Oreochromis niloticus: one gene and its partners. The protein of the gene in region 3 purifies or fractionates together with the protein of the main gene of each other region. This does not show direct contact. Links are inferred from orthologs where the notes say so. Each region holds a gene or a part of one and is shown on either strand. Other genes may lie near its edges. The genes, in order: clspn, rfc5 and rad9a.

Region 1 (7,728 bases), on a different chromosome or scaffold from region 3:
CAACAAAGTTCTTCCAGAAGCAGATCTGTTTACTTGACCTTGCAGTTGGACATGCACTGAAAAGCATCATCTGACTGGGACATTTAAAAAAACAAAACAAAAACAAAGGTTTCCAATTTTGAGATAAAATAATGTTTGAAAAACTAATTTTGACAACACATTTAACACAATTATTTGAGGATTTGTGAGTGAGCCATCTTTGTCTTTTTTCTGGTCACACTGACTTAAATAAAGTAATAGAAAGGCCACAAGATTACATTTAAAAAAGAAAATCTACTTAAATAGTATATAAGCTTTTAACATGTAACATACTTGACATAAAATCTTCCTTCACCTACGTGAAGCGTAGTGCACTTTGCTGACAATCATTCACTTTGTGCTTCAAAAACATAATTCTAACTTTTATTGATTTTATTATTTTTTATAATATGTAACAGGCCAGGCTGAGACAGTCCACAGGACGTATTAGTGCCCATGTGTGTTTTAAAAAAAGATGTTATGAGAAGAACCCTTGATGTATCCAGCCAAAAAGAGTTCAGACACTAAAGCACTCACCTCATCCCTTTCAGAGAACCTCTCCTTCTTCTTCAGCTTTTCCACCGCTTTGCAGCGCTTTTCCTTTTTCTCACGATGTCTCTTGCTCTTCTCTCTTTCCTTCACTTCTTTTGCAGATTTCACTTGCCTCTTCACCACTTTCCCCTCTTCCTCCTCCATTTTTCCACTCTTCTCCTCCTCAGGCTCACTGTCCTCGCTATCAACAGGAGCTCGGCTTATTCTCTTGCATTTCTGCCGTCCCTTTTCCTTCTTCTTGTCCTTCTCGTCTACCTTTTCAGTCTCCATTTCCTCTCCGCTGGAAGCAGATAAAACTAGTGCTTCTGCCATGTGTACACTGCTATCTGCAGCTGCCGCCTCTTCCTCGCTGTCACTGTCTCTAATGGCATTACGGTGAGGCTTTCTGTGCACCATGATGTCTTCATCGTCATCAGAATCTGATAAATAAGACAGAAAAACCAACCAATTTAGAAAGTTAGAATGAAGTAGAGTAGAATGGAAATGGTAGAGTGGTAATCCCAGCTCATATCAATGTGTAATGAAACAAAATACTAGAGTTTGCACTAAACAGTGAGAAAAATAAATTCAAGTAGAATTTTATTCTAATGCATATATTTGTTTTACCAATAAATAAATAAATTAAACACATTAAGCAAACTTAATGTGGTTTGGACATGTGAAGTGGGATACTGGACATATTGGTCAAAAAATAAAAAAGGGAGAAAATGGAGCTTCCAGGCAGGAGAAAAAGCAGAAGTCAAAGAGGACATATGTCCTCAGGGAGTGGTTTGGAGGCAAAATGATGGAGTTTTTACTACATAAACAGTTTAATTCGTTTTCAAGTTACCTTTAGAAATCGACAACTTGAATCTTAGAAAAGTTTTTTTGCTCTATGTCACAGCCCTGATGAAATTTCTTTGGTAGAAGGGAAAAAAACATCTTCAGTGAGCACCAAGAGTTCTTATATGCAGGACAATATATGCAGAAAACCTTGATATAAACCCTTCTGAAGAAACCTCAGACAAAACAAATATAAGTCCAGGGAGACTGAAATACTTCATTATTAAAGTATTTATACTATTTCCTACAGAATTTCCCTTGGACTGATATGTTACTCTTTGCCTTTATTGTTTTTCAAACAAATGTGGTCCTTTGGAAACTGGACATCTTTTAGATACTGGTTTGCTTTTCATTTATAACCTTTGAATGTATATTTTCTCAAGAACTGCAGCTTTGAATCTTTGGTCAGACTGGCTCGTTATGGTAACTAGTGTTTCTCTGCCTACTCTGGTGTCACAGGCAGTTGCATAAATGCATACCTCATTTACACAGCCAGAGTGGCTCATTGTTATGCTGCTTTACCTGGACGACCTTCTCTTTTGTTAGAGGTGTCTGTAGCCATCTCCTCTGCTGGTGAGCCCACACCGCTGTCTGAATCACTCTCTGTTGCAGTCTGGGCCACAACTGGAAGTCCCTCACCCTGCATACAGTAGCACATAATACACATGAATTGTTGCTGCATGGGGCGAGTAAAAGGTACTTAGTGGAAAAAAACTTGAGGTTAAGTATCAACTGAAAAACAGTTCATCTGGGGCAGGGGTAGAAGTTCAGTTTAGGTTACTTGATTGAGATTCATGTTGTGTGAGACTGCTTTTGTTAAATCTAGTAACACTAGGAATTCATTTCGAATGGAAGGCAACCCAAATTGCTGCATAGCTCATTAAAACAAAGTACCACAGTATAGCATGTTTCTGCATTTGACAAAAACACAGAGGAGAGGGTGTTAACACAGAGGATGGGTGTCACTTTTGTCACTTTGGGCAGCGAAACTGTTGTTCGTTGACAGGACTGGCGCCTTGAAGTAAACCAAACAATGAGCAGCATGTCTGCCTTTCAACGTTTCTAATTATCACCATTCAGGCAACAGATAAGGCTGTCCGTGAGTCCCCTAGGTCTTACTTTAATAAAAGGATTTAAAATTAAAATGTCAAATTGACACGCTTTAAAAGGCCCAAGCCAGTTACCACTTTCCAAAAGAGCTGAGCTAAACCTAACCTAGCCAGGAAGCTAGGTGGCTAACAAAATGTGCAGTTAGCATATTTCTTTCGATCTTGCCAATCTCCACCAAAAAAACCTACCCGATGAAACAGAGTGATATATGCAAGTCTAGAAAAGTTAGGCAGAGGTTCAAGATAATCACTGACAAACCAAAGCATTGCCTGACCTGTTGTTGAGAAAGCACCAAGCTCATCTTTGTCCGCTGGCTAGTTTACGTTCTTTTTTTGCAAAATAAACCGGCTCAGACGGCACCTCGTAGTCTCGTGTCACCCACAAAAAACGTGGACAAGTTACCGTCAAAGCGACCAGCGCTGCTTCTGTGTTTTAATTGACATTTAGTTAGCGTTTAGCCGGAAAAGTTATCTTCCTCCCGCCTGTTCCATACACACCGAATAGAAATTTTGATGTTTCGCGCGCCGCGACAGCTGGCCCGCAGTTTTTCGCCACCGGAACGTCAATCGCAGTGTTCTCGATTTCCTATTGGTCTGTTTGGCGCAGATGTCCCGCCTAATTTAACTACGCTGCATTGCAAAAGCGTTTGTTTAAACCCCGGGACCTCTCCGGCGAGTGGGGATTGTTGCTGGAGAAGAAACAGAAAGGAAAAAAATTCCAAATATCATAACAACTTTAACACTTATTGACATGCTAATTAATCATAAAGCACAGTTATTGGAAATGCACCGTTTTACAGCTATTCTATTGTCCCGTTGCAAGGAAAATGGCATTGCATAATGGAGTGATATCCTTTATTCAATCATTTATCGCTTATTTGTTCTTTACAGAACTTCTACCCTGACATTTCAAAACCATTACATTTCTCCACATTTCTGTCCATCTACACAGATTTTTCTGTGCAATTCTACTTACAAACCCAGTATTCCTCAATCAAGTCTTAAAGCCAGCGCTTTGTTGATACTAATTAATCCAATTAATGATGCAAATTACATATCTATGAGTTGTCTGTTTCTCAAAATTAATAGCATAACCCTGACTTCTCTTAATTAGTATTTTTTCCAGGTTTGTGCTGCTTAATACAGTTTTGTCAGTGGTGTCTATCACACGGTTAAATGAAACATTCGGATTTTTAGCAGTGTCCCACGGTTTCATTTGTTAGACCGAACAATAACTGTGACGAGTTTCTTCTCTAACCCCGAAACTGACCCCCCCCCACTCACATCCCCACCCAAAGGCTGATACTCCAGGTTAATCAACAAGCGACATTGATTTTTTAATCAGTTTTTTCAGCTCTACTATATAGCTAAACAGATAATTCGTAATCATCAATCAGCAACTGACACTAACACAATGTTCCACTCCAAATGTACTTACCAGTAAGTGAATTTATGTCAACATCTTGCACTCTGAACCATTGCACACAGAGCAAGAACCAAACTGGAGTCCTACTCCTTGAATGCACATACTTGGCCATTAGGTTTTTATTTCCAATTTACATCATTTTTAACAGCATTTTATCATTATAATATTGTTTCAGTTTTATTGAAACCAAGTTTTTTAGAACTTTCAGATGTGACTATTTAAGCCAACTGCGCATGCGTGTCCAGGTGAAAAAAGGTATATATGAAGCAGGGGTGCAGGGCGCAGGGGTTTTTTTTTCAGTGTGGAGGTATCCTACTGGAGGAGGTGGAGTAGCAACAATAGTAATGACTAAGGGCAAGGAGCTGGTACCACGTAGCGAGAATCGTGTGGGGCTGTTATTGAGCGTATCAACTAATTACAGCGTCATGGCAGCAGAAACCATGAACTGGGAGTTGTTGCAGAAAAAATACGGTTATATTTTAAGGCGGTTCCTGGAGCGTTATGTGCTACCAAAGCAAGGCAACGGAAAAGGGAGGAGGTATGAAGACCGGTTTGGATTTAGAAGAGGTACGTATGCTCAGATTTTATATCTTGCCTTGAGTTTCTCTTTATCTTTATTTTGTGACCATGTTTCTACAAGTCCCAACTAAATCTTCAAAGGAAAAACATTCAAATTGAAATCTTAAACTAGAACAGTAACATGTTTGGGGGTCTTAACCCCCCCTCAAAAAAGTAGGTAGGTAAAAGATTTCTTATTATATAATCCAAGTAAATTACAAAAACACAAACGGACGAAAAGCTACTGCCTTTTATTCTGCTTTATTCAGGTAAAATAAAACAGGGCATGTGTGGCTTGCTTGGAAAGTATCACTTCAAAAAGCTTCTCAGTTTGAAAAAACAAAACAAAAAAACTTATACAAGATTTGTTTTAAATGGTTTGATGTATCACAGCACAATTAATTAAGCATTAAGAAACTTTGATATTTGTTATTTGGTGTAACAAATATTTGGTATATACTGTGGTTACAGACAGAAATGGACTTTTAAAATCCCACACTGGAGACGTTCACGCGTCGAATGAATGAGAAAATGAATTGGAGATATAATAGAAAAATGAATGAATACAAGGGTAATTTGTACAGTGTAAAAAATGTTATTATACTTATTGAGGCTATATTGTTTAGCCTGTATTTAATTTTCAATCACAAACAAAGAAATTTAGAGTATAACCAGCAAAAGCAACTGCTTGCATCTCCGCGGTATCCTACGGTGGATTTTCGCCACTTGTAACCGACGCATGCGCATATCCAAATCCTCAGAACGAGCAGCAGCGGCAGCGGTAGCTCAGTTCAGGTCAGCCCAGTCAGCAGTCGTCCACGCGTCTATCTATACTCCCGTTTCTTAAATTTAGCCACTTTCAAGCTTCGAGATACCGCCCCCAATTTCAGCGTCGGTACGGAGCCGCCAGGCCGGGACAGAGACGGAGAGAGAGGCCTCGGCCATGGAAGCGCTCGGACCCGGTAAGGATTTTTAAGAAAGCGAGAGCGGAGCGAGGAGCTGGGAGCGCGAGCCGTGTGTGGGGCGCGTGTGCGCAAATGCGTCGCTTCACTGGGGGCCGCGGCTGCAGCGAGGCCTCGCTGTGACGGGAAAACAAGCCGAGGCCCAAGCCCGTGTTTGTGTACGTACTCGTAGTACGTTATTTACATCGAACCAGGGGGGCTCTTTTTCCTGTTAGTACCGGAGGGGGTTGTTTTTATCCAGTCTCCCGCCGTGTCCGAGGGTTATATTTATGTCAGGCACGCTCTACTCGTCGTGTCGGGGCTGGCATTGTGTGAGTGGGGATTTAACTGGGACCTTCCTTCCTCCTTCCTTCCGCGTCGTGCTGTGTTTACGTTGTTTGGTTCTCGCTGTGTTTATTCGGCGTTTCACGCGTTTACGACCCGATTTCTTCAAGGGGACCGCGCGTTTGCGTCGAAATACGGCGGGATATAACGTGTTTTTGCCAAATCCCCCTCTCAGTTAAATCATATAAATCTGCCTGCACCATCGCCATCAGGAGCAGGCAAGCTCGTCTCTTACACCCCCCTCCCCGCCCGTCCAAGATGACAGCGATGGGTTGGGAAGACAAAATGAATGCCAACAAAACACATGTTTACTCGGCAGATGTGGTGATTTTGTGTTTTTTTTAATGTGAGGTGGTCATTGGTTTGCGCGCCTCTCCTTGGGCAGCAGCCATGCGCCCGTGAGAGCACAGCAGGGATGGATGGCGCTCTTATCGATCAGATCTGCAGGCCAGCTCCATTATAGTCTCCTATATGATAACAAAGGCACGTATTTTGATGCAATAAAGGCATGCAGTGGGAAGTCAAATCATGCACCTGTGCGGTCAGCAGTCCAATATGCAGTGTTATTGTCACAAAGCTGCAAAATATGTTTAGGTCATATTTTTTCCCCCCCACTGGAGACATTGTGTTCTTTTTTTTGTGTGTGTGTGGGAAACGCGCCTTTTCATAAACGAAGCATCTTGCAACAGAAAAAACCAGTCTTCATGCAACAGCATTGACATGGTTTATTATTATTTATTTATTTTTTTGACTTTCTAAATGACCAAACATTTCCCCCGCAAGCAACAGAAGAAAGGTGGTGGCATTAGGAAGCACTAGATGTGTTATTTAAGCAGGAAATGTGCTCCTGCAGAAATTGTTAAATGGATGCAAGAAGCTGTGAGGGTCCAGGATTATTGGGGACAATACAGCCTGTCTATCCTACAGGGGTGTGTTTGGATCATTGTTGCACATAATGAAATGAAATGAAATAATGAGTAATCAGCGTTTTTTATTATACATTAGTGATTGCTTATTGTACCTGCTGTCTGTACCTTGCTACAGCAAGTGTTTAGGTTGTGGAGTGTGAATTGAGATTTTCTATCAAAGCCTTTGTTTACACATTCATAGATGCAGACGTAACAATGAGATTTTTGTGATAAATATAAATATGATCTGTGAACACTGCTCTAGAATTTCTCTTTTTGGGATGTTTGTAAAGCTTTGTTGCCCTTTTCAAAGGCAATGCTGAATCTTATTAATATTGAATTATTAATGATAATATTAATATAATGCGAACTGGTCATGGTGCAGGTGTGAATAGTGAATGCATAATGGTGATTATGTTGAAGTAACTGTAAATCTGAATGGATTAGAAATAAGTTAGACTCTTGGCAGTTCTATTTAGTTGTGTTTGAGCTATGTCACCTTAAGATACTTAACATTATAAGGTAAAGACAACATAATATTGGAGAGAGCACCCAAATAACCTAATACTTTGGCATAATTGCTGTCTTTTTCAAAATTTCTATACACGCTTAATATCATTCTTTTCTTTATGACCAAAATAAACACAAAGCTTTAATATTGTGATGGCCTTAATTGCAGTTTTTAAGTCTTCTAAATTAGTTACAGTAATGACTTGTAGCCCATTCTGTGTGTCTGCTGTCTCCTGTTTAGTCGTGCTTCAGCAATACTCTTGTACAGTGGTGGGGATTTCTTCAAACACAGGAAAGATGTAAAGCAGACGGTCAACTGTCTGTTCTTAGAGGTGTGAAATGCAGCAGTGAGTGGCCTATTCAGTGACAGAATTCAGAATTGGGTTGTTGTTGTCTCGAAATTGTGGTGGAGTCACACAGCATGATGAATATGCAGAGATGAGTGAAAAGACAAAAGCCTGGAGGACACTGAGTGAAACTGGGAAGAAGTGTAGTAATTTTGAAGTATAAGATGGGCTGTGCTCCCATTTGGAAAATGC
Region 2 (6,964 bases), on a different chromosome or scaffold from region 3:
GCACTTTGAAAACTCTTGTTTTAAAGGATAATGTCTCTCTCAAATTCAGTGTCAATATGAAAAATCTCTGTCTTTGTAATGTAACAACCTGTCTAACAGCCTGTGGAAGACTGAAGTTAAGCATAATTTTAAAATGACAGAGAAAGTGGTGTTTCTTGCACTCCAAATACAATCCTTTAACTCAGCTTCTGAGAGAAGATTATTTTTCCTTCAACTAACGTGTCCTTTTCATACAGGTATTAGCCATGCAGCACAGTTGCTACAAACATGCTAATAATGGATGCCAAAATTTTCTGAAAAGAACTGAACACATAGCTTGGGTATATCCTAACTTTTGGTTTAGGCAAATTAAAAAGGATATCCTTACCCTTCTTAAGTTTGGAGAAATAGGTCAAACCATGACACAATCAATAAAATCTTTCTGATAAATCCATTCACAAAAATTTGTCAGGCTAATTTTACTGGTGAAATAAAAATAATACCCCATAATGCTTATAACTAGTAATCCAGTACCGAAAGCGCTTTGCAAAGCATGCAGGGAACATAGTGAACACTTATCTTCACAGTGTAGCCTGCTCATTGCTGGCAGAGCATTTGCACTTTATATATTTAGTTATTTCTTCACTTGGATTACATTCCTGTCCCCTGTCCAGCACTTGCAAACTCCATTTAACAGCTCAGACATGAATACTTTGCAATATGTTTATGTGTTATGCACAGTCTCATATTCCTGTGGGGATGAGATTAAGTGTGTGCCACTCACAAGTGATTTCTTGGTATTTTGTTAACGTAGTATCTTAATTATTCTCCCACTAGGACTTAAAGTCTGTTGATGGCGCACACAAAGACTTAGTGGTGAGTTTATGGAGACCTTATCACTTAATGGTATTTGTTTCAATCTCATGAGACATCACAATAACATTCTTATAGGCCCTAAATGCCGTGCTGTGTCTGCAGTGCTCAATAGGCTATAGTGAGTTTGCAGTGAGCTTATCGCACTTTATGGCATCTTTATGTCCTGTAACAGCCTGTCAGTGGTAAGGGGTTTATTCGACTGGTCTAAGTAGTCTCAAAAAGGGCAGCCTGATATCTCAACACACAACATGACCATTACGTAACGCAATTTACGGAATACCCCACGGGCCAATTAACGGATAACGATATTTTGTAACAATTTCAGTAATCTGCCAGCCTTGCATAACGCAGGGCCTGGCTGCGAGAACAGATGCGCAGGCTGGCATATTGCTAATGGATTGTAAACACGGGCTGCCTATAGGCCTCGGCTGCCTCAGATATTATTCTGGTGGAGAAGAGCCACCTTCTCTCCCCGCCACCTGCAGAATGCGCAAGTCTATAACAGCTCACTGCAGCCCCTTGGCCTCTTGATTTATTGCACTGCACAAAACAGATAGCAGTGGGCTTTAGCTGAAATCGTTGCATATTTATGCAGTGGCAGCAGAAAAGCAGTCTGCCGTAGAAAAGACACATAAAAATTATGCATAGTGGCCTTGAAATAAATAACAAACGGCGGCAGCCCGCCACCCCCCCATATTGATTTGGATGTAGATGCACAGCAGAAATCCGATGATTCCGCTCAAAGGGTGCTTACCTCCAGCGTTCGTATCTCTTTTTGTGTCAAGTCGTTGGATGTGGCACATTTGGTCCGTAAACCCTCCAAACTAGAAATGCTTATGTCTATCATATTTTGCACCAACTCGCACTGCTGCAAGGCTTTCTGCAAACTAAGATGCTGCTCCTCGCTTTTTGTCATCTCCTCGTTCATAGTTTTGTGAACAGTGGACGTTTTTTTCCGCTGCACTTAACAAAAAAGGAATGAATTAATTCAAAAACAAGGGGAAAAAAATATTGATGATTATTCAAGAAAGGAGCGTGGTGAAACCCACGGAACGGAGCAACCTGCAAAACGCCATGAAACGAGATGTTGAAGGTTTAGAGACGGGCTTTGAGCCGTGAGAGAGTCGACTCCATTGCAACAACAGTCCTCGTAGTTCCTGCTGTTTCATCAAGGTGTCTCTGGTTGTGGGCTAAATCAAACACAGTATGAAGATACCAAGCGGGACTACGCGGTCTGCATCCATTGGGTTCCACTTCTTTCAAATGTATGTTTGAAAAAAAAAAGAAAAAGAAGAAGAAGAAGCTGTTCAGCGCACCATAAGTAGACGCGTCGGGGAAAAGCCTGCTGGTTTTAAAGGTGCTGATGTGCGGACTGGATGCAGGTACTCCCTGTCTCCCTAGGCAGCAGCTGCATCCCGGTTCTCTCCCACCACACCGACATGTTTCCTGTCAATCAAACCCACAGCAACAGCATCGCATCGCCCAGGCACCACCGTGAGGGGCCGTTCTCGCGAGATTACAGAGCAGGGCAGAGAGCTTAATATGCTTGAAACGCCAGGCTAGGGTTAGGGACAAAACTATCCCTCTTTACATGTTTGAAACAAAGATGTCCTTTTACTGAATATGTATGATTCTATTAGTTTATTACAGGCTCATGCTGTGTGCACTCACATCCAAGACACTTATATAGCCTGCAGTCAACAGCTACAAACACTTCAAAATATTTCTAGAAAATGATTTAAATATGCTTTAAAGTTAAATGGAAGAACAAATATTCTTTTCCATTGATTCGTGTGTGACATTTAATTTTTGGCCTAGTTAGACAACTCTGTACTATGCCTGATGATGTTTGCATGTGAGTGGAATCTTCTGTTTTTTATTGTGTGCCTTATCTCATTTCTTCTTCCTCTGTGCTCAGTTTTAATTTGCAGAAGAGATCTTGATCACAGTGAAGCTCCTCAGTTAGAATATAGGTTATAATGCAGACATTACAAATAGAAACTGGATTGTTCAAAAACAGCAATTGCAAAAAAAAAAAAATATATAAACCAAACATTAAGGATTGAATGCTGTCAAAATGCAGGCTGTGATATTAAATCATTATCCTTGACTGATGCAGTATAATGCAGCCTGGGAATCAGGATGCTTTGGAGGTTTCCAGCAACAAATCTGAGAAGTCAAGACGATTAAAGAGATAGGAGATGGTACACAAAATCTTGTGTACTTGTGTGCTCACAGCTTTTTTTCACTAACCCATGATGATCAAGAAAATGTTTCAGAGAAACCTGTTGTGTAAAGTATAAGGTTAGGTAATATTTCAAATTCAGGCTCTAGATAAATATATGGGCACACTGCACTTTTTGAGATATGGACAGATATGTGTATTTTACTGTCAGCACCATTACCAGAAGAAAATATTCCACATGTAACAGAAAATAAATGCAAAAAAATGTAGAAAACATTTCTGACACTCTTTGTCATGTTTTAAGATGGTTAAATATTAAAAGACTCTATTTTGCAAGAACAATTGTGAAGCTTACAAAGATAAACTATAATGAGATTAAGATGTCAGTGTCGTATAAAAGTGAACAAACTACATCTAAGAAGGAAAGGAGTAGACTTTATTTTATTTTTTTTAAAATTTAACAAGACGTTTAGTGCAAGTGACTTTTATTTTAAAAATCAAGATAGCCAGAATACTTTTTTTCTTTTGTTTAAATTGGTGATTCAGACTTCAGTACCATATGCCATCTTTAAAGACTTCTAGTTCTTGCTGTTGGATAAAAAAACAAAAAATCTACTGCTGAGTTTGATTTTCATTTTCACTGATTAAGGAAAGGAATTGTTCAAAATGGGAGAGACAATATTTAAAAATGAAAGAGGAGACATATACCTTCGTTTTTATGATGTTTGATATTGTGTATCTTTTATTGTTACAATTTCTAAATCCCGTTATTACTTTTTACAGAAGAGAACGAGTCACCGATACTCCGCCCATGAAAACGACAATGTGATTTCATTGGTTGTACGTGGTGACGTGTGACGTACGTTTTGTTTGCGGAGCGCGCCAAACAGGGCCATCAACAGTAGTAATCGCAGTGGCTTAAACTCTGGAACCCTTTAGCTCAGCTTGGCGTAAAATTCACGCTTGGTAGGATACATGGCTTCTACAAGTAAAGCGCCGCTACAGACCAGAAATTTACCATGGTGAGCTGAAAGTCGCTGTTTATCACAGAATGGTTCAAAAAGTTATTGCTAGCTAGCTAACATGCCTACTGTCAAGCTAGCTGCTCACTGCACTGAGTAGACTGATGCATTCTGTGAACTGATAGCTTTATGTACATTTAGAAATGACGTTAGTTATTACGCATATTTGTAAAATGGAAGGAAATGAACTTATCTTCAGTTCGGCTTACATAAATCTTATCAGTCCATCAAGCATTAACATGGTGCCACTTCAGCAACAGGTTAACCGAAAACCTGCAGCTTCTGACTGCGGTGAAAGTGCTGTAAGGTTGACGTTTTGTTTATAATAAAGGGTGATATTACGAAAAAAAATAAGGATGCCGAACTAAAAAGTGGGCATCTGTAATGGGATATGTCAACGTTTGTCAGCGCTTATCATATGTATCCGTAGACGTTTCAATAATTTGCTTTAAAATTCATTCGAGGTTGCTTATTTGCCATGCTGTAAACTCAGTAGTTATCGCAAGTATGAATGCGTGTGTGTGTTTTCCTGTTTCAGGGTTGAAAAATACAGACCACAGACACTTGATGATCTGATTTCACACAAAGATATTCTGAGCACTAGTAAGTATGTGGACTGCCAGAATAACAGTACTATAAAACTGTATAACATGACACTTATGGATAAGCAAACTACTTTTAAACCTTAATAAACTGATAAACTCAATGCTATCTGTCAGTGTTTTTGACTCCTGAGCTTGTTTACTGTGGTTATACCGTCACTGTCATTAATGAGTCATGGTACTGAGTCAACTTGCTTAAAACTTTTGTGTTTCAAATTTATAGAACTATTCAAGGGGGGTGCATATGTGGATTGTTAAAGAAACGTCGGTCACTTGTATTTAAACTGATTTTCATTTGTTCTTTTTATTTCCAGTCCAAAGGTTTATCAGTGAGGACAAGCTTCCGCACCTTTTGTTCTACGGCCCACCTGGAACGGGAAAAACCTCAACCATACTCGCTTGTGCCAGGCAGCTGTACAAAGAGAAGGAGTTCAACTCTATGGTGTTGGAGGTATGTTACAACTCCTCATTAGAAGATTTGGATTTGCTGAATTGTAAAGGTTTTTTAACTTGTAACTCTGCCATTTTACATTAAAATATAATTAATTTTGCTTTATAGCTCAATGCATCTGATGACAGAGGTATTGATGTAGTACGAGGTCCCATTCTGAGTTTTGCCAGCACCAGGACCATCTTCAAGTAAGACTAAAACACTTATAGAGATTTTGATCAGAAATAAGTGTTCTCAGTACTTTTACATGCAGTTAAGAAGTGCAGTGGAAATGTAAGCTGCTGCCTTTTTTTATTTATCTTGTCCTTCAGGAAGGGCTTCAAGTTGGTGATACTAGACGAGGCCGATGCCATGACCCAGGATGCCCAGAATGCATTGCGTCGAGGTAAGCCATCTGTTCGTTCAGGCACTACCCACTGTGAGGCACACGGCTCAGTGAGCAGGCAATTTGGCTGCTGCTGACTTACAGTGTATCTACTTTTAAACCTGGATATTTATTTAAAAAGCTTTGCTTTCCAGAAGAGTGGAAATAATTATTGAATTTAACTGTAAAATATTTTGTAAATTTAGTCCAACCTGTGTTTTTCTAATAATGTTTCCATATTTCATTTATAAAGCATCTATTGCTGTGCAGTGCTGTTTTATAGTTCTAAATAGATGCATGGTGAAGGAACAGTGGATGGTATTATTAGTATATTACTGTCAATTCTAAATTCTCAATGAGGTGGTTTACGAGTGTCCTGCACAATCTTAGCAACATTTAGCAAGTACTTAGGATAGATTATTCAAAAAAGTGGATTTTTTTTTTTTATTGACTAAGATGTTGCCAGAATTTACATTTTAAACTTGTTTCCCTGCTTTCATCCCACCCTTGCTCTCTGTCTCAGTCATTGAGAAGTTCACAGAAAACACTCGATTCTGTCTCATTTGCAACTACCTGTCCAAGATCATCCCCGCCCTGCAATCTCGCTGCACCAGGTTCCGCTTTGGTCCCCTTTCGCCAGACCAGATGATCCCTCGGTTGGAGCACGTTATCCAGCAGGAGAAGTGAGTTAATGTGTGAATGCTTTCTCTCCACTTACTGTTGTTTTTTTCGTTTTTGTTTTTACATCTCATTGAATTATTCCCAGAATTGCTAATGAACTTGACAAATGTATTTGTACCTGTTGGCCTCCACTGGGCTCCGCTAGTCTGCCTATAGTGAGAGAAATAATTATTTGATCCCCTGCTGAATTTATAAGTTTGTTCATTTCCTTCTAAATGAACATTCTCTATTTTTATGGTAGTTTAGAGACAGACATAATACCAACCACATTAAAGGTTGTTTAAAATCTAGAGTCTTTGTTCTTATGTTACGTTTCTGTTGGGTAATTTTTAGAAGTTTAGGGCTTCTCTGTGTGTTTGAAAACAGTTTAAATCAGGGGGCAACATCAACCCTGTCCTCTCAACTGTACCAAGCCCTGAAAAACCAACAAATACCACAATAGGAAATGAATTTTCTCATTGTTTCACATTTATTGGTACATGTAACTTGAGATGGAAGAAATTAATGAACGGACTTGGAACTATTTTTGATTGCTCTATTTATTAAATGTCATCAGTTATGTGTTCATGTCGCAAGTTTTAATTTAACTTTGATATGATTTAAAAATAGTTGATTATGTCATTACTTTTTGTGACAGTATTGACATCACGCCAGATGGAATGAAGGGTATCGTGACCTTATCAACAGGTGACATGAGAAGATCGCTCAACATACTGCAGGTATGGCCAGAAGTTCATCATCGGCTCTGTTTAAGATGTGGATGTCATATTCAGTGTGACCGTTTTAAAACAGGCAAAATATAGC
Region 3 (7,722 bases):
CATTCCTCCGAGACCCTGGTGCTACATATGACATATAACAGACAAACACAGGACTAGACTACGTAAAAGTGCAATGTGCAAAAAAATAAACAAGACAAGACAGTGCAACACTAAACACAACGATATAGACACAACACAGTGCAATAGAAATGTGCAAAATGCTGAGTATTGTGCAAAAATAACTTGGTGTCTGTAGGGGTGTCTGTGTGTGTGTGTGTGTGTGTGTGTGTGTGTGTGTGTGTGTGTGTGTGTGTGTGTGTGTGTGTGTGTGTGTGTGTGTGTGTGTGTGTGTGTGTGTATGAATGTGAGACACTGCATATGTGTCAGTCCAGTCACTGAGTGTTCAGGAGTCTAACGGCTGAGTCACTGACTGCAAATTACTTTAATCCAAGTACTGAAAATTGTATTTAGATTTAAAATTATCTTAGTACAACCAATTACTTCTGATCCCCTGAAATTTCTAAACAGCTAATGCAAAATTTTTGTAAAACCCCAGTGTGCAGGAACAAAACTACAAAAACTGTCATTGTCCAACAACTTATGGACCTAACTTTATATTATAGAGCAGAGATATCAAACTGATTTTACATAATGGGCCACATGCAGACCACTTTGTGTAAGAGTACATTTAATGCCTCAGAGATCTCAATATAGGAAAAAAGAAGTGCAGTTTTAACAATATGTCTCAGCTTTACAGCATAATAAGAAATGCTGCTGTACTTAATGAAAGAAATCTCTCAGCAGATTAAATTATTAAAGTTCTGTTTGCTCATTGTCCAGGCTGTCCTGGAGAAAGCTTTTGTCAATACACAGAAAATGTCCTATTTTATTTGTTTACCTTACTGTGGTCTTCTCGCAAAAACCAGACATGTCTATAGTAGATAGTAAAAGAACAGGAACTTGTGTTTATCTGTTACTTCATTATTGTATTATGAATGATTGTGGGAAAGGTCTTTATCACTAGAACAAGCTGTAAAGTTTATGAAAATACAGTTAAAAGTCAAAAATGTATGCCCTCCTTCACATTTTCCAAAGACATTCAGTGGGCCGAATTGGAGTCTTTGCCAGTTCGATTATGTTTGACTAAATTCTATTAGCAAGTATTACTGTTTAGTCCACTGCGCCACAGAACTCCACTGTTTCCCTAGAAATGTATCAATATACATAAAACACATCAATGACACACACTGTGGCAGTAGTTTAGATTAGTTTACATGGGCCTTCATGGGCCAACTAAGCTTACAAGTTAACTCAATACAACTGAAATGCTGACCAGAGCAAATTTTATAAAACCTGGTTTTTGTTTGTTGCCTGTTGTTATTTGTTTTTACCCCCTGAGACACCACCAGTCAAGTATCGGTATGTTTTTATATAGCTTTAAGGCTTGTTCTTATCTTTTGTCATTGGTCAAATTCGCACTTTTACAATTTCTAAGCTATTTCATATTCTCTACGACCTACTTTTCATGCTCTCATTTCCAGCAAGTAGAGCTCAGGTGGCATTTCCTGTACATTAAATATACTACAGACCAGTTTTGCACCACATCTAGATCACTTGATTATGTTTTTGTAGTGTTCCTCAATCTTCCTCAAGATCCAGCCAGCTAAGTCTACCTGTTTTATGAAATTACAAATCCTTCAAAATTAAAGCTACATATATGGGAGTTTTTAATAATTTATGTCTCTGGTAGGAAAAACAAAAAAGGAAACAAACTTGGCTTTGGGATGTGAGTATCTTTCCATCTTTTGTGTTAAGTTCTAATGAGAGAATCGTTCTTTATGAGTTACTTGCACAGAAACTATGTACATCTGTTTCCTTTTATAGCAGGTTATAAAAAAATCTCATCGTACACATGAAAGTTTGTAATGACATGCTGTCAGTGACAGGGTGTGTTTGGCACATCAGACCACAGACGCACATCAAAAGTAAAGATGTCCGATGGCTGGAAACATCTCAAATACTTTGCATATCTTACTGCTGACGTTTCAAAGTAAATAAAGCCAAAAAAACCTGTACGGCTTTCAGTTTGTGCCATGCTGCTAGAGTGCAGGTCTGGATGTATTTGTGCAATTTAGCATCATTTGTGTGCCTGTTACCTGATGTGGCTGTCGTTAGTGGCGTCCTGTGTGCGTGCAGGAAGCATTTTACTGGCTCCACTGGTGTCCAGTGAATGGAGGGTCCTTTCATCCTTATTTGATGCATTGATGAGGCTTTCTGTAACCTGGTTTGGGTGTGAAATCTGCGTGAAAAAACAAGTTGCAGTGTCACTTCAAGATTTCTTTTTGATGATTATATGACAAAACACACTACTCACCTCAGGTCCCTCCTCACTCTTCTGGTCTCCTATGCTTCCTCCTTCTTCTTCTTTTCCCTTTTTTCCTTGTCTGTCCTTCCATCGATCCTTGAGCCTCTGCGTCCACCTTCTGGTTTTATTCTCAGATGATCTCTGTTTCCTCCTCACGCTGCTGTTTGTTGTTTTTTGACTGTCTGTGGCAACCTGCGAATCTTTGTTTTCTGCCATCGCTCCAAATCCTCCATTTCCTACGTTTAACGCTTCATTGTCTTGACCTCCTGCGAAAGGGTCTGTGTTTTTCACGGCCCACAGGTAGGCCTTAGGTTTAAAGCCCTGCTCCTGGTTCTCATTCACTCCCATGCTTTGGGCAGCATGTGCGTTAGGAGGCATGCTTCTTTTCATTGCAGAATTGCCAAAACTCCACTTCTCAGTATCAGTCCTCTCAAAGGAAGCATCCTTAAGTGATGTGGTAGGAAACAGCTGCCCTGTTACTGTTGGGGTGATCGCAGGCTGTGTCGCCTGTCCCATAACCCTGCTATCACCAGTGTCACCATCACTGTTGTCTTTCTGGGAGGGGAAGGAAATAAAACCCCTGTCCACCCCACCTCCATGACCGGGCTGCTGTAGTTGACCAAATTTGAAGCTAAAGTTGCTGTCTGCAGCAGGGCTCCTGACCTTATTCGAAGGGATACCATTAGTACCTGGGCTGCTGTTTTCTGGTCCAAGTGTGTGCCGGTGCCCCTGGCCCTCTCTTTCCGACTGCAGCCTCAGTTTCTGCAGCATGGACTGCAGCAGGGCGTGGGAGTCTGCTGGATTAGGTGACTGAGACATCTAGGAACACAACCTCTAAGTCCTCTAAATCCAGGAGTCGCAGAAACACGTGTCAACACCACAGTGAAACCGGATAAACAAGGACGGACTCTACGCAAGTAATATAATTCGTCGCTTTACAACCAGCATGACAAGAGGAAAAATACCTTTGTGTAGAAGATATCACTCTTTGGTCCAGTTCTTGTTAGAAAGACACCTGTTATGGCTGCTTTCGCCTTTCTGAATAATCCAATCCCTTTCCATGACAATGTAGTTGCTTCATAGCAAATATGAAGAAAGATCCACCTCTTCCACTTAACCGTCCAGAGGTAGAAATCCTTCTTCTTCTTCTTCTCTGTGTAAACTGCTGCTTCTTATGCTGCCTCCACTAATCCTCGATCCTCAAGAAGAGCAGCAGAAGTCTTCTTCTCTTGTTCTGCATCAAAGAGATATAAGCTTTTGTTGTTTTCCCAATTTTCAAAAGTCTCTCGCTTTTACTAAATACCCATAGTTCCATTACACTACGGGTGTTGTAGTCACACCTCTTCTCCAGCAGCCACTTATATCACTGGTAATGGGAGGGGAGACTGTGCACGGCTGCGTTCCTCAGATCTTACAAACTGAAGCAGACCAACAAGAAAGACCAGTGAGGTGAGATAATTGTTTGCTGACTCTAACTCTCTCCCACTGTGTGTCTTTCTGCCCATCTTTGTATTTTGCCCTCCCTTCCTTCTCATTTCTCTACTTGGCACGCTTGCTCACACAAGTGCACACACACCCTCTGTGACCCGTAACTGATAATTATAGGGCGTTCTTTAAGAGCGGCCGCTATGTATGCGCCTGCCAAATTAAAGATATAGGAAAATGTCTGCACTGAGCTTTGCAGTAACCCATTTTATACCAATTCTGTGAAAAATGCTGTCACAGAGTTCTTTGCTACTGTTGTTGAAATAAAGTAGTAGATTCTCCAAACATGCAGTGTACTTCAGCTTGGAGAACACCATGCAATATTTCTTATAGGTTTGTTAGCCACCAGCTATATTGTTCCCCACTGCAAGTCATTACAAGATGCTGCTGCCCTGATAAACTCTTAACTGTTCTAACTACATTTCAGCCTACTAAAATGCATTTTAAACCATTTGTCATTACAGTAATTGTACTGCCTTCTTTCTGACTGAAGGTTTAGACTATAAGATTAACTAGGTACACTACAGTACTTGAAAAGTTACTTTCCTATTCTGACATGAACTTATTTAATAATAATCATGTTGCTGATCATTAACTAAAGTTTATATAACAATTAGTAATAATATACTTCTTTATCCACTACATTAATACCTTATTTTTTGTTTTTTCGTCACGCCATCTTTATATATTTCTAACCGGGACGATCACAAATAACCAGCCACGAAGATGCAGTGAAAAAAAGACAAGTGGCAGAATGTTCACTTGGAAACTAAGTGCGCATGTGCACTGTCAAACTCACGCCCCCTTTAAGTTGCCGTGTATCTGATTGGTCCGCACTTTGTAAGCGGGTAATGGCGGCGTAAACAACGCTGACATCGATGAAAGAGACACTGCTTAACCGAGAAAAATAAACTTAGACTGGAAATAAACGGAGTATGCTTTCGGTAGGAAGATTTGCTCTCGGTGTGGAAACGATTAAAACTCCGTCTTGTGTACTTCTCGGTGATGCTTAGCCGCTCGTTTTGGCTAACTTTTAGCCAAATGTGCTAACTTAGCGGAAAAGTGAGTTTGCAGAGATGCACTGTATCGTAACGGGAGGAAACGTGAAAGGTAGCAGACATTTCCTGCATATTAAACACAGTCTCTAGCTAGAATATGTATCATTAATTAGTTGTCGCTAATAATTATCTTGTGCGTGTGTTGGTGGGTGTGTCTGTACCGTCCAGTACTGGCCAAAGCCGTCCATTCTCTGTCCAGGATCGGCGATGAGCTGTATGTTGAGCCTCAGGAAGATGGGGTGAGCTGTTCTGACACTGACTTGCACACCATCACTTCCTCCTACAATGCAGATAGGCTTGTTGCTTCCTGTGGGTGCACACTTTGCGTCAATGAAAAAAGTTGATTTGTTGGTCTCTCTCTCTCTCTCTCGTAGCTGGCCCTGCGGTCTGTGAACTCCTCTCGGTCGGCTTATGCTTGCTTCCTGTTCGCACCACTCTTCTTCAGCAGGTGCAGAATACATGCCTGTGTTTATAAATGGCATCTCTGTGTGAGAGAAAAAGAAAGCGTGTATATGAGCTAACTTTAATCTGCCTTTTATACCTCTGTTTTTCTGTGCAGGTACTCCACTACTAGTGGGGATAACTTCCGCTGCAAGATGGCAATAAAGGTGTGAGAGAATTAGATAAGCTTCTGTTTTTCAAGGCGTTATACAGTCTGGGTGTGACATTGATTACATTTGAGTAGATAATGTGGTTCCCAAACTTTCATGATGACATAACACCCAAAGTTATTATAGCGTTCTTTTCTTTAGGAACATTTAGGATATGCCAGAGGTGTGTTTTTCACAAGTTCAGATTAGCTTTTACTACAGATATGCAACTTTGTGAAGGTATTTAAGTTCCAGTTACAATCTTGTGAAAACTAGCTTTCTCAGGTCTTTGTTACTTACAGTTAGAACTGTGAAAAACTAAGTACACCCCATGATTCAGTAGCTTGTAGAACCACCTATAGGAGCAATCACTTGAAGTTTATGAGTCTCTTACATTGTTTCAAAGTAATCGTTTTCTGTTTGACTTTACCAGTGTCTCAAATCTTTGTGGTGGAGTTTTGGCCTACTGTTCTTTACAGTGTTGCTTCAGTGCATCACAGTTTGCGGACATTCATTTATGCACAGTTCTCTTAAGGTCCCACCTCAGCAGTTCAGTTGGGGTCAGGTCTAGAGCTTAATTATTTTCTTTTTCAGCCATTCAGTTGTAGATTTGCTGTGGTACTTGGGATTCATGTCCTCCTGCATGATGCTGTTTGGGACAAGTTTTGACTGTCAGACCGATGTCCTCACATTTCAGTCTGGAATACTTTGGTAAACAGAGGAGTTCATGGTCAACTCAATGAGTGGAAGGTGTCAGTGTCCTGTGGCTGCAAAACAGGCTCAAATCATCACCTTCTCCCCATCATACCTGACAGTTGGTATGAGGTGTTTGTGCTGATATGCTGTGTTTGGTTTTCACCAAACAGAGGTCTTGTGGTTTCTTCAGTTGCAAGCCGAAGATGTGCTGCCATATTCTTTTACAGCCAAGAGAGGCTTTCTGCTGGCAACCCTTCCAAACAAGCCAAACTTGTTCAGTCTTTTTCTAATTGTACTCTCGTGAACTTTGACATTTAACTGCTAACTAAGGCCTGTAGAGTCTGAAATGTAGCTCTTGGATTTTTTTTTTTTTTTTTTTTTTTTTTTTTTTTGCAGTTTCTCTGTTCACTGCACAGTCTGTCACTGGTGTGAGTTTGCAGGGACGTCCACACCTGGAAGGATTGACAGCTGTCTTGAATGTTTTCCACTTGTAATTAATCGTCCCCACTGTGTTCAAATTATTTGGAATTCGGTTTATAACCACTGTCAGACTGCTTTGCATCAACAATGGCTTCTTTAAGATCACTGCTGACGTTCCATCCTTGGGATTGTGTTAACACACACCTGAATGCTCCAGACATGCAAACTACTCACATTTTGAATTTGATTACAAGCACCTAGCAGTAAGACGGTACTTAGTTTATCTCGGGATTGCATAGAGTCAGTCACTTGACTGTCACGGATCTCACTAAGCATGCTTACCAAAGGCCCCTCAGGCAGGTTGTGATAAGTATCACTTCAGTTACTTTTCTTTTGTTTTCTAGTCTAGTTTTAATTCTTTTTAAGCTCACAGTTAATTTTAAATAACTACATTGACCTTGCAATAAACCCCAAAGTCCCATCACAAAAAGTTCAACCACTCGATCACAAAAGATGTACTGAAACTACAGCTGCCAGTCTGATTTTTGTCTAATAGTTTGGTCAGGTTTGCATTCATGTGACCACTACCAAAATGTGAAAAATGTCAATTTTAACTTACTCTCTATATATTTTTCTTCTCCTTTTCTCACTGGTTTACATTCATTTTCAGTCTCGGTTTGCTATGTTAGGGAAATGTGGCTGATAGTTTCTTGATTACTTTGATTTTAAACATACTAAAGATAAACATCACACTTTCTTATAATGATTTTTTCTGTTCCTTGTTTTTTTTTTCGTTGTTGCTGTTTTTCAAATTAACTGCATGATGGCCGTACTTGGGCCTCCCTGATGTAACTACAGTTAGGAATAGCAGATCTTATTCTTAGGATTGAGAGTGTAGTCTTGTATCTGCTGACAGCTTCAAATGCCTCCTTTCCTGTCGTGTTACCACCCTTCGGTTGTGGTTATCTGTGTTCAAGTTTTGCAAAAACCTCACAGCTTCCTCGTATTAACAGTTGTACTTAGCAGTTATATCAGAGACTGGATTGTGTGTCACTTTTCAGAAACGGCAAACATATTGATTTAGATATCATTTGAGTGTCACTAAAATGTTTATTCGCATTGATTGCTACCAGAGTGTGTCATTGCGTATTGATAAGCATTATTTCCC

Evidence for each region.
Region 1: the proteins of rad9a (region 3) and clspn purify together in Homo sapiens (affinity purification with western blotting; 3 studies listed by BioGRID and IntAct, with this or other methods). This does not show direct contact. The link is inferred for Oreochromis niloticus from reciprocal best matches to the Homo sapiens genes RAD9A and CLSPN.
Region 2: the proteins of rad9a (region 3) and rfc5 purify together in Homo sapiens (affinity purification with mass spectrometry; 3 studies listed by BioGRID and IntAct, with this or other methods). This does not show direct contact. The link is inferred for Oreochromis niloticus from reciprocal best matches to the Homo sapiens genes RAD9A and RFC5.

The regions. Positions count from the first base shown.
Region 1 is NC_031985.2:14,063,102-14,070,829, forward strand, and holds the start of clspn (claspin), read right to left. Parts: upstream 3,077-7,728; 5' UTR 2,804-3,076; coding exon 2,777-2,803; intron 2,033-2,776; coding exon 1,915-2,032; intron 990-1,914; coding exon 556-989; intron 1-555. Other genes in the region: ago4 (protein argonaute-4), read left to right, coding at 4,272-4,494.
Region 2 is NC_031977.2:30,125,118-30,132,081, forward strand, and holds the start of rfc5 (replication factor C subunit 5), read left to right. Parts: upstream 1-3,870; 5' UTR 3,871-4,015; coding exon 4,016-4,062; intron 4,063-4,600; coding exon 4,601-4,665; intron 4,666-4,978; coding exon 4,979-5,115; intron 5,116-5,223; coding exon 5,224-5,303; intron 5,304-5,426; coding exon 5,427-5,500; intron 5,501-6,002; coding exon 6,003-6,162; intron 6,163-6,797; coding exon 6,798-6,879; intron 6,880-6,964. Other genes in the region: ksr2 (kinase suppressor of Ras 2), read right to left, coding at 1,610-1,783. UniProt on the Homo sapiens protein: Subunit of the replication factor C (RFC) complex which acts during elongation of primed DNA templates by DNA polymerases delta and epsilon, and is necessary for ATP-dependent loading of proliferating cell nuclear antigen (PCNA) onto primed DNA.
Region 3 is NC_031966.2:22,445,402-22,453,123, reverse strand, and holds the start of rad9a (cell cycle checkpoint control protein RAD9A), read left to right. Parts: upstream 1-4,630; 5' UTR 4,631-4,866; coding exon 4,867-4,900; intron 4,901-4,993; exon of another isoform or gene 4,994-5,016; coding exon 5,017-5,087; exon of another isoform or gene 5,088-5,210; intron 5,211-5,222; coding exon 5,223-5,296; intron 5,297-5,407; coding exon 5,408-5,456; intron 5,457-7,722. Other genes in the region: uncharacterized protein zgc:113229, read right to left, coding at 2,097-2,239, 2,315-3,124. UniProt on the Homo sapiens protein: Component of the 9-1-1 cell-cycle checkpoint response complex that plays a major role in DNA repair. The 9-1-1 complex is recruited to DNA lesion upon damage by the RAD17-replication factor C (RFC) clamp loader complex.